Coturnix japonica: one gene and its partner. The protein of the gene in region 1 binds, or shares a complex with, the protein of each later gene. Links are inferred from orthologs where the notes say so. Each region holds a gene or a part of one and is shown on either strand. Other genes may lie near its edges.

What was found. Proteins that work in one complex are often made in the same cells at the same time.
Region 2: GINS2 (region 1) and MCM3 share a complex: the UniProt entries of both Homo sapiens proteins name them as parts of the CMG helicase complex. The link is inferred for Coturnix japonica from reciprocal best matches to the Homo sapiens genes GINS2 and MCM3.

What each region holds. Positions count from the first base shown.
Region 1 is NC_029526.1:15,692,702-15,698,781, reverse strand, and holds the start of GINS2 (DNA replication complex GINS protein PSF2), read right to left. Parts: upstream 3,819-6,080; 5' UTR 3,752-3,818; coding exon 3,662-3,751; intron 3,562-3,661; coding exon 3,447-3,561; intron 2,930-3,446; coding exon 2,830-2,929; intron 1,784-2,829; coding exon 1,657-1,783; intron 1,326-1,656; coding exon 1,200-1,325; 3' UTR 1,173-1,199; exon of another isoform or gene 31-1,172; intron 1-30. UniProt on the Homo sapiens protein: Required for correct functioning of the GINS complex, a complex that plays an essential role in the initiation of DNA replication, and progression of DNA replication forks.
Region 2 is NC_029518.1:98,090,131-98,095,962, forward strand, and holds the start of MCM3 (DNA replication licensing factor MCM3), read left to right. Parts: upstream 1-1,907; 5' UTR 1,908-2,090; coding exon 2,091-2,171; intron 2,172-2,355; coding exon 2,356-2,468; intron 2,469-3,063; coding exon 3,064-3,272; intron 3,273-3,535; coding exon 3,536-3,666; intron 3,667-4,159; coding exon 4,160-4,398; intron 4,399-4,683; coding exon 4,684-4,792; intron 4,793-5,392; coding exon 5,393-5,546; intron 5,547-5,815; coding exon 5,816-5,832. UniProt on the Homo sapiens protein: Acts as a component of the MCM2-7 complex (MCM complex) which is the replicative helicase essential for 'once per cell cycle' DNA replication initiation and elongation in eukaryotic cells.

The DNA of each region.
Region 1 (6,080 bases):
TCTATTGCTTTAATTATTGTTGTTATAAAGGAAAACAAAGCTTGCCTTTTTTTTTTTTTAAACTATGGTTCTGCTTTATGTTTTTTGCCCCCCCACCCTCCTTTTTATTTGGTTTTTATTCCTCCTCTTCATGTTTATAGCAGCCCCCCCCCCTTCACTTATGCAATGGGGCAGCCATAAGCATTGCATAGTGATGAGTGCTGGGGAGTCACTACTTATAGGGCAGCATGGGGAGCAGCCCCAAATCCCCCCCCTAAGATAATGAGAGCACATTGGTGGGCACAGGGCTGTGCTCCCAGGGGAAGCTGTTCCTTGTTTGCCACCAGATAAGCTCAAAGGAAAAGGTGACCTCTGCCTTCAGCTCCTTGTGTTCTCACTGCTCTCCTTCCTTGCGTGCAGGAGGGAGGATAGGGATGGAAAATGGTTGGCCATTCACAGCCCTCGTGGCTGCAGCTGCTGCAGCTTTGCTTCTATGCTGAGATCCACCCCCCCCCCCTTTCCTTCCCATGCCAGCCTGTAATATCAAGGTTCCATTTGCACATCCCCTTGGGCAGGAGCTGGATCAGCTTTGCCATCCCCTTTTGGGGTCCTTATCCCCCTCCCTGTCCCTCTCGGGGTCCTGCTCAACCAGCTGGTGGTCACCCAGGTGCTGGGATGTTTAATAGCACCGACCAGCCTGGCTCAGAGAGGGAAAAGCCATTTCCTTTTGTCCTTCTCCAAGGAGCAGATGGATGTGCCTCCCAGCGCTCTCCCTGCCGGCACAATCTTTCCCTGTTTGGAGGCTCTGAGTGAAGCACCGCCTTGAAATCCATTGCTTTCAAGCCAGTGTGTGGCCTGTGCTGCCCTCAGAAGTTCCCTCTATGAAGTACACCCACGCTCTGCAGGGCAGAGGGATCTGCCCGACATCATTAGCTGGATGCTGGCAAGACACCACCTGTATCCGCGAGCATCTTTGGCAGCAGCCTCTGAACCAAAGGGAGGTGAAGTGCTGCTAAGGGGAGGTGAGAGCTTCATGGAGCCCTGCAGCAGCTCCCTGCTCCCTCCCCAGGCTGTGTGGGAGCAGCAGGGGAAGCAGCTGCTGCCAAGGATGGGCTGCATGTAGATAACCCAACTCACAGGGTGCTGGGGGATGTGCACAGGGAGGTGGAGGTTGGCACAGTGGATGTACATACATGGAGGGCTGGTGTGGGCAGAAGAGCTCAGAAATCCTGGGACTCGGCGCTTCCCGAAGGCTGAAGGTTGGTCCGGAGTTTGTACATGTGATCCAAGGCTTGAGTAAGGAAAGTCCCAATGGTGTTGATCTCCATCAGCGTCAGGTTGTCCAGCTGGAAGAGAAAGCAGAGCCGTGTTGAAGGGAAGGCGAGGAGCCTGGCAGCATGATGACACCCAGAGGGACCAGCTAATAGAAGCCTACGACCAACCCAAGCTCTGTTCTCCCAATGCTGCTCCCCTGGGAGCCACCAGCAGCCCATCAAAAGAGGTTTCAACACGTGGCTTTAGCACCTGACATTGCCCAGTGCTCCCACATGCAGCTCTCATCAGCCTCCAACCCACCCACAGCAGCTGGGCTCCCCCCAGTGAAGCTGCCTGAGCTTTGCCCCCATCCCATCCCATCCCATCCCATCCCATCCCCATCCCCATCCCCATCCCATTAACCTTGGCATGGGCCTCCTGCTGCCTCACGAAGCTGTCTGCAGACAGCCTTAGTTTGGCCATCCGTGTGTCCCACGTGTCCTTCACCAGCGTCCGGATCTCGTCTGCTTTGGGGATGTTGTCAGAGGCGCTGGAGGAGAGAGAGGATCAGAACAGACTCGTATGTTATGTCAGTGGTGTAAGTAATGTTGGCAGCTCTTCAGCCCTCTGAGGCAGAAGCGGAGCAGTTTGCTGTATTAACCCCCCCCCCCCCTCCTCTCCTGCGACTTGATGTTAAAATCCATCCTGGTGCTTACAGGGCTGGGATTTTCAGGGTGGTTTATTTACCCAGGAATCCTCAGCTCCAATGCAATGTCTGCTTCTCACTTCAGTCCTTCTGCTCTGTAATTGCCCAGCTGGTACCAGGTACGAGCAGGGCCAATAACCGGCCCAGAACCACACACAGGAGGGGAACTGGAAGGACTAGAAGCACTGTCTGTGCTCTCGTGGTTCTATCAGGGTGTATTAAATTGAAGGGACTTGACGAGTCGTGCCGCATCCTCCCATTAAGGCAATTCAGTGCTGCCATAAGGACCTCGAGAGATGAGATCAATTCACACGGACAGAGCTGTCAGGGTTATTCTAGCGTGAGCCAAGAGCGTCGTCTCCAGAGGAGAAGCCAGTGCTTAAACGACCACCCCACTGTAATCAAGGGCTTCAAGTCAGGAGAGCCTGAGCTTAGAAAAATACCAGCCAGCACATTTTACAAGTGAAATGCCACAGCAGGCACGAGGTTAGACGAGGAATAACCCCGCTCTCTTGCTTCTCAAGCAGAGGAAAGAGGAGCTTTCCTCCTGAAGGAGAGCCAAGGAAGAAGCCTGGAGGGTTCAGGCTGCCGAACAGATTGCAGCCATGGAATGTGCTGTCTATAGTCCAGGCCTCTCCGCTCAGCTGCTGCTCAATAAAGCGGCACAGCCCCAATTATCAGGGCACGGAACAAGCCATCCCCAGTTACTGCAATGCAAAGTTACCATGAGAAAACGGCTGCGGTGAGAGATCTTGGCACGTTGTGAAATAAACCCCCATTAACTCTCCCTTTCCCACAGCCCTCTGGGGTTGCAGCCAAAAAAGCTGGATAAATTATCTATGCAAGCAACGTAGTCGGGTGGAAACTGTTCCGATGCATTTCCCACTTACTAGTTTAAGAGCAGCTTGGTGAGCTCCATGTAATAGGGGCTGGGCATCGGAGTGAAGGTGTCTTCTTTGCGTTCTTGGTCCCGGATTTCCTCCAGCTTTTCTATAACACAGATAGGGATGTCAGATGGTGGCAGACCCCCAGCTCCTGACCCACCTCTTCCAAATCTCTGACTCAAGCTGGTTTAAACATGGACAATATACAGCCAGGAGAAGGCTTTTATAATGAAGCCAAACACCCCTTACACCTAATGCCTGTCCTGGGCTCTAGGAGCAGCTTTGCCACAGCAGCTCTCAGCTCCCAAGGGAGGACAGATCCTCATCAGGGCCATAAAGCTGATTGATGACACTTGGCTCACCATGCTGGATCCACATCAGCTTGACCAAACCTTCAACACTTGCACTAATGAGTCACTGTGCCCTTGAATGAATAGAGCAGGACTGCTCCATTAAGGTCTTTTATCCCTCTACCAACCCCACTCCTGCCCACCAAAGGAGCAGGACTCAAACACCAGATTCAATTGGGAATCACTTCAATTAAGCTCCCCATTAATGGAGATAACCAGAGAGCTTCCCATGCGCCTTCTATACCCTCAGAACCTGCCGTCCTGTGTCCTTACCCACATCCATCCACTCTGGTGGGATCAGGCGACATTTCTGCCTCTGTTTCAGATTGATGGCCAACCAGACCGGCACTTCTACAGGCAAACCGGGGTTGAAAGGGCCCAGATCCCCCTGCAAAATCAATTAGAGATGAGAATAAAGGCACCCCCTTGTCCCCACACCCCCCATATCCCCTCAGCCCCCCCCCATTGCCGTTCTCCCCCCCTCTGACCCCGATCAGGTGCACTGTGTCCATGCTGAAGCTGGGTACGATGGTCACCAGCTCCTTCTCGGCCATAAACTCCGCTTCTGCCGGCTCCATTTTAATGGACCTTTAATAGGGTCCGGAACCGGCGCGCGCCCGCCAAACGCCCACGCTTCCTATTGGCTGCCGACCGACTAAGCCCCGCCCACACCACCCTGCTTCCCGCCATCTGGCTCGTTTTCGCGCCCTCCGCGTGTGGGCGGGACTCGGAGCAGCTCGGAGCGAGCTGATTGGTTGTTTCATTCACCCGTGGGTTTCTATTGGTTAACATACGGGGAGGTCCGTGTCGCTCGCCGTGCGACCAATCCCGATGCCTCCTGGGGTAGCGACCAATCAGAGTTCAGCACTTGTTGCCGGGGCGCCTCGGGGCGCTCCATGTGGTCACGGCGCTCGGAGGTGCTGCCCCCTGGCGGCCGGGAGGAGCAGTGCACCCAGCTCCGGCCTCACTATGGGCAGTAGGTCTGTCTGTCTGTCTGTCTGTCTGTCTGTCCATGGGCAGCCAGTCGTGCTCGTGAGCCAGCCATGGTCCGGCTGCTTGTTGCTTCGATTCATCAGCCAACACAGGCTCCTACTTACCATCCATCTGTCCATCCATCCGTCTGTCCATCCATCCATCCATCCATCCATCCATCCATCCATCCCCCCTTCACCTACCCACATGTCCATCCATCCACCCACTTGTTCATCCATCCGTCTGTCCATCCATCCATCCATTTGTCCATCCCCCCCTTCATCTACCCACATATCTACCCCTCCATCTATACATCCATGCACCCACTCAACCACCCACCCCCCCATCCATCCATCCTCCTACCCCCCCATCCATCCTTCCACTCATCCATCAGCCCATCCATCCATCTGTCCATCCATCTGTCCACTTGTCCATCCATCCATCCATTCCCCCTTCACCTACCCACCTGCCTGTCCATCCATCTATACATCCATGCTTCCAACCATACACCCACTCAACCACCCACACGTCTATCTATCCTACCCACCCATCCATCCCTCCACTCATCCATCAGCCCATCCATCCATCCATCCATCCATCCATCCATCCATCCATCCATCCATCCATCCATTCCTCCTTCACCTACTCACATGTCCGTCCATCCATCCATTTGTCCATCCATCCATCCATCCATCCATCCATCCATCCATCCATCCATCCATCCATCCATCCATCCATCCATCCACTCCCCCCTTCATCTACCCCCATGTCTGTCCATCCATCTATACATCCCTGCTTCCATCCATGCACCCACTCAACCACCCACCCCCCCATCCATCCCTCATCCCAATGAGCCCAAAGGCTCATTGCCCCCCACCAGCCCCCATTGGGTTGGGTAGGTCTGGGGGCTTCAGGAGTGGATCCCCCATCCATTCCCACCCCCGTGGTGCCACCAGCACACGCTGCAGCTCCGCCAGGCACTTTTATAAATGGCTCTGACATGGTGTGAATACACTTTTGTGTCTTTTGCCATCTGCTGCTGTCATTAAAAAATGAAGTTTCCATCTGCTTTTGCACGCCGTCCTCTCCCGGGGCTCTCCAATGAAGCTGCACATTGGGAAGCATCACCCCCAGCAGGGCAGGATCCAGCCCTGGGGTTGTATTGAAGCTCTTGGTGTCCCCTATGGGTGCTCAGCACTGGCTGCAGGGCGGTGACGTGCCTCCTGTTGCCCTCCATGTGTCCCTACACAACATGGTCCCTGTGGGTGTGGGTGGTGTGACGATGATGGAGGGCACGTGGAGGTGTTTCCCATCCTGTTCTGGGGTCCCGCTGCTGCCATTCCCGCTGCTCACACACATCTTCAACCCTATAGGAAGAAAGGAAAGCTGGTGAGCGGGGAGGGTACATCGATGCAATGCTCTGCTCAACCCTATACGAGCCACTGGAGAATCCCCAGAGCCCCACGATAACACAACAGAACCTTCTTCATCCCCACTGTGCTTGTTGGGGTGCTATAGCCCCCAGCTGCCCACCCTCCTGCTGGGCCACATAGAGCTCTAATCTGCTGCTTTAATCAAGAGGAAAACCCAGCTCCACACACAGCGAGCGGCCGGGGAGGTTTAATTCTTCTGCAGGAGGAAAATGCCCGAAGGGGACAGACACTGATATTTTTAATCTCTTTTTAATTAAGGATTAAGCCCTGCCTTATGTAAGAGAGCCGCAGGGGGGTGTTTTAGTGCACTGCTGTCTCGGAGCCCTGCACAGGAGAAGAGTGAGAGCTGTTGGGGATACCTGGGGGCTGCACCCCTGTGGCTCTGACCCCATTCTGGGGGTGCTTCAGTGTGGGGGATGCACAGCAGCTCCCTCTTGGTGCTGAGGGCTGGGCTATGGGTGAAGCATCCCATGTCACAAAGGTCTCTATAGGACATAGAGAT
Region 2 (5,832 bases), on another chromosome or scaffold:
CAACCATCCCACAGCACCCACCAACCGAGCTACACCTCCACCCTACAGCGCACAATAAAACCACCTGCAGCCTCCATGCAAAGCGAGATGCTCACGTAGGAAAAACCCAACACCCACCCACAGCAAACAGCCCCAGGGGAGCAAAACCCCCAAACCATCACCATGGACACACAAACTGAACCCGGAGCGGTTCTCCTCGCTGTCCCCTCTCCCTGTCCCCGCAGCCGCCCGCACTCACCGCACCGCACCGCCGTGTCCCGCAGCCACCGCCTCCAGGCACCGAGCGCATGCGCTCAGCCCCGCCCCGGGCTGCCCCACCGGCCGGATCTCGGGTTGATCAGCGGCTGTTCCGTCTCCTTCTGGTCTTACAAATGCTTTGCAACCGAAGCTTTGTGGGCATCGCTTTGTTTGCTCGCCCCCTGACCTGCTACGTGCCTCCCCAGATGCTCTGATCTGTTAAGCTCGGGGTACTTTACACCCTGAAATGAATCACCCGCTTTATTCCCTCCCAGGTGTGGTTGTGTTTGCTCCGGAGATTGATCCCAACAGGTTCCGACTCAGCTGGGCAGGGTTGGGCTCTCCCTGCCTGTCCCCCACCCCAAAAACAGGGGTAAAATGGATGAGAATTGCCTATTATAGGGGTAGGGGGGATGTGTTGGAAGGGCCCCTTTAAGGCCATCAGTCCCACTGCACAGGGACACCCACAGCTCCAGCAGTGCTCACAGCCCATCCAGCCTGACCTTGGCTGTGTGCAGGGATGGGGCACCACCCCTGGGCTGCTGGTTGGTGACCCTACACACAGCATTGGGTTAAAACCAGATGGTGATTGTGGTCCTTTCCAACCCAGGCCATCGTATGGCTGGGTCCTGTGACTGAGGGGTCACTCATGGTAAGTGGGATCCCATCCCTAATGGGTGCAGATCAGCAGTGCTTTGTATGCAGATGGGTGATAGCCAGGCTCGTAGCAGGGGAGAAAACCAGGAATAAAAGGAGCCAGCTGTCACTGCCTTTAGTAACAACCAGAATTCACGATAACAGATGAGCAGACAGAAATAGCAACGCGAAACCTCCAGCCATCTATATTTGGGCTATTCAGACCTCCTTGGAAACACAGTATTATTCATTGCTTTATTTTGCTTTCGCATGACAGGAGAAGGGAGCGACTCAGCATCATGTTGGCACTGGGGGAGCTGAGCATCGGGTGCAGGACCATAGGAAGACACTGCAGCCCTTGCTCTACATGCATTCAGGTGCCTGATTCCTGTTTAATGTTACCCCTGTAAGGTCCCCATAGGAAGAGCTGCCTCCATCCTCGGCCTTCCCCGACCTGTAGCAATGAATTATTCACTCGGCGTTCTCCGTGCCGAGGCTGTTGCTATAGGGCAGGCTCATGAATAACAACAGGCGCTTATTTTTAGCCCTAACTCGTTACCGTGCTGCTGCCCTTGGTTCACAGCCATACCTTCAGCGGGACGAACCCCGCAACGCCGCTATGGGCTGGGGCTCCCTTTGGATTTACACACAGCACTTCCTTCCCAGTTTATGGGATGGCATATATGGCCACCTACGTTCTCCTTGCTAAGATCCCCTTAGAAAAGACATCCGTTACCCCATAGGGAGTCTCCGCTTTGCTATCTGCAGCTACAAGGTGGGGGGGGGGAGGGCAGGGGAGATGCTTGAACCTGGAACGGGGTGTTACCCCAGTGATAATAAGGAATCAGCAATAAATACACTAATTTAGATCCTCATCCCGCTGCTGACACCCAAAGCTCAGCCGGGACCCCAGACCCCAAACGCCCCATTCCCGCCCCCGCCCCGCCTCCTCCGCTCCCATTGGCTGCCGCTGCTGCGCGTCAACTCCCGCCACTTCCCCTTTGCCTCCCATTGGCTGACGCCCGGCGGCGCCGCCCAATGAGGAGCGGAACTCCCCCCGCCGTGGCGGGAAAGCGCTCGGTTTTGGCGCCAAAGAGAAGCGTGGAGGTTGCTGTGATCCGGGCCGGCGTTTGGGGTCTGCTGGGGATCTATAGGATCTATAGGACCCTTTAAAGAGCAACCCGGTCCTTACCTGTTTACTACCCCCTCCCTGCAGCATGGCAGCCCCAGCGGACGGGCTGGACGATGCGGAGCTGCGGGAAGCGCAGCGCGATTACCTGGATTTCCTGGACGATGAGGTGAGCAGCGGCGTGTATTGCGGGATGCAGCCTCCCCTTATAACCGGGGGTGGTCATCGCTTCCCCCCCAAACCCCCCAACAGGAGCCATGGCGCTGGGGCTGCTTATTCCCCAGGGAATAAATGGAAATGGCTTTACACGGCTCATGTGAAACTGAGGGTTGTGTTGTTACCTATGTGTGCAGGAAGATCAAGGAGTTTACCACGGCAAAGTGCGCGACATGATCAGCGACAACCAGTACCGCCTCCTGGTCAACATCAACGACCTGCGGAGGAGGAACGAGAAAAGAGCCAGCCGGTACGGGGGGGGGGGGGGGGGGGTGCTGTTGTGCCAGCCAGCCAGCCCTTACGAGCTTGCAGCCCATTGATAGAGCAAATCCTGTTTGTTTGAATCCTTACAGTAAAATTCGGGTGTTTGCATGGTGTGAGGCGTCTCAGCTTTAGGGTTCTGGGGTCTTTTTGCAAGAGACTTGCAAATGGTTTAAGTACAAGTTGAGATGTGACAGCTGCGAGTTGGAGGTCTGGGTTGGATATTAGGAACAATCTCTTGTCATGAGGAGCAGTGATGCAGTGGCACAGCTGCCCAGGGAGGTGGTTATGGAGCACCCCCATGGATGGTGACCCCACCATGGGGATGTGGCACTGAAGGACACAGTGGGCACAGGGGGGTTGGGCTGGGTGACTGTAGAGGTATTTCCAACCTTAATGATCCCCTGTTAGGTGTTTCAGATGTAATTGGGTTTGTTCACCTTCAGGCTCTTGGTCTCCATGAGCTGTGGGATTCTCAGTGTTCTTTCAGAGCACACCGAGGCATCTGGAAGGGATTTCTTAGAGCTGCCAAACAGGGTTGCCAACAAGATGCAGCTCTCAGCCATCACCTCCCTCTGTTGCAGGCTTTTGAGCAATGCCTTTGAGGAGCTCATCGCCTTCCAGCGTGCTCTGAAGGACTTTGTTGCCTCTGTTGATGCCACCTATGCCAAGCAGTATGAGGACTTCTACATTGGGCTGGAGGGCAGCTTTGGTTCCAAGCACGTCTCACCACGGACGCTGACCGCCTGCTTCCTGAGCTGCATTGTTTGTGTGGAGGGCATCGTGACAAAGTGTGAGCCTGGGGGCAGGTTGGGATGCTGGGTGGTGTGAGGAGCAGAGGGTCGGGGTGTTTGGTACAGCAGGAGTCCTCCAGAACCAATGGGAGGACAAGTGGAGTGATGGTAACAGTGGACTTGAATGTTGGGAGCTGCAGTCCTTGGCACTCTGGTTATCAGCACTTTTGTCCTGTGCATATAGTGGATATCTTTTTGGGGTTTCATGGTGACAAACAAGTGGGACTTTTCTGCCCCTAACTCTTCTTTCTTCCAAACCCAGGCTCTCTGATTCGTCCCAAGGTTGTCCGGAGCGTCCATTATTGCCCAGCTACCAAGAAGACCATTGAGCGCCGATACACAGACCTGACATCCCTGGATGCTTTCCCTTCCAGCTCTGTTTACCCTACAAAGGTGAGGTGAAGCGGCCTCATATGGGGAATATCTGCATGTTCCTCTGGGGAGAATATGCTGGCTCAGCAGGCAACATGATCAGCTGTTGGTTGGCATGCTTGTATGTGGCAAGGGGATTGAAACTAGATTGTCTTTAGGGTTTCTTCCAATGCAAACCATTCCAGCATCCCATGGTTGCTGTCTGGAGGGTATGTGGACCATTGTGTGCAGGGATTGCCCTGTGCTTGGGAATGGAGGAAGCTTGACCTAAGCTATGTCTGTTGAACGTGCATTCTTTTGCATGGCCTGCCTGCATTGGGAGCAGTGCTTGGAGGGTTCTAATGTGGCAGTGCTTGATGCTGGCAGCATTAGATCAGGGGGAGCTGTATTGCTGGTGAACTGCAGGATCTGGTAGTCCAGGTAAAGCAGCCCTTTGCAGTGCTCATGTGTGTGTTGGGTGATGCTCTCTTCCCAGTGCTGCTAATCTCTTTATTGCTGTGCCTTCTTCCTTAAGGATGAGGAGAATAACCCCCTGGAGACAGAGTTTGGCCTCTCAGTCTACAAGGACCATCAGACCATCTCCATCCAGGAGATGCCTGAGAAGGCACCAGCAGGGCAGCTGCCACGCTCGGTGGATGTCATTCTGGATGATGATCTGGTGGACAAAGTGAAGCCTGGAGATCGCATTCAAGTGGTTGGGACTTATCGTTGCCTGCCAGGAAAGAAAGGAGGTTACACATCAGGGACGTTCAGGTGAGCCTTCTGCTGGCTTCAAGGACAACATCAGCCTTGACACCCCTTTTTAGCAGGGTCCCATCCCTCTAAGATGAAACATAGGGCAGGTTGGATGGGGCTGTGAGCAACCTGGTCTCGAGGGAGGTGCCCCTGCATATAGCAGGAGGTTGAAACTGGGTGATCTTAAAGATCCCTTCCAACACAAACCATTCTATGGTTCTATGAAACTTCTGCTGTTGTTATGATGACCCTGAAAGCTCTATGAGCTTCACAAACATCATTGTAGCTGTGTCGCTATTCCAGGACTATCCTCATTGCCTGCCATATCAAGCAGATGAGCAAAGATTCTCGGCCTCTCTACTCTGCGACTGACGTGGCCAAGATCAAGAGGTTCAGTAAGAATCGCTCCAAGGTATTTATGTAGGTCTTATTTCTAAGCTCGCCTTCCATGATTTTCCTCTTGCTTTCCCTGCATTTTCTACGTAGCTTTTTGTCAATTTCTGTGATATATGTATGTATACATATGTATTACATGTAGCTGTAGCAGAGTTTCTGATGGCTCTGCTCTGTTGTGCGTAGCTGTTGAAATGGAGCTCTGTCTGGGCTGTGTGTGCCCTGACTGCTCGCTGGTTGTTAGAGAAGCTCCTCTGCAACGTTCTACTTTTCCTCCTCAAACCTAAGAACGGAATTAGATGACAGCCTGGATTTCTGAAAGGAAACAAAGCAAAATGCCAGTTCTTTTGGTTGGGGGAGGGAATGGGGGCCTGCCCCCCAGTCTGGTCCTGTGTTCAGATCTTTGTTCTTGTGGGGGTTGCTGCTTCCAGTGCTTGCGAGGTGGTCTAGGACTTCAGAGCCCCCATGGAAAGAATATTCCAACAGTATTCTCCCATCTAAATAACCTCTGTCAGTGTAGTTCTGTGATAGGAATAAGTTCCTTTTCTGGTGCTGTAATGGGCTTGTGAACTTGTTCTTCGGTCCACTTACAGGCTGTGCTTTGCCTCTTCTGCCTTAGGATATCTTTAACCAGCTGGCGAGGTCCCTGGCACCCAGCATCCACGGGCACGAGTTCATCAAGAAGGCCATTCTGTGCATGCTTCTTGGAGGGGTGGAGAAGGTCCTGGAGAATGGGAGCCGCATCCGAGGAGACATCAACATCTTGCTGATAGGTGTGGAGAGGCAGAGCAGAGGCAGCTGAGGCTGATGCTGTGGGAGTGAGATGAGGCTGTTCAAACAGAACTTCCCATGATCCATGTCACCTCTTCTCCCATCACTATACGTATCTTAAAACCCTGGCTCCATCTTCTCCCCATCAGGATGATGGAGAACGTGATCCACTCACCTTCTGCTCTGAAGAATGAACGACCCAATTCGTTGTCACGTGTATTCATTTCCCTGCTAACACTGTGTTTGCTAAACACATTCTTCTCTCTTCCAGGTGACCCTTCCGTTGCC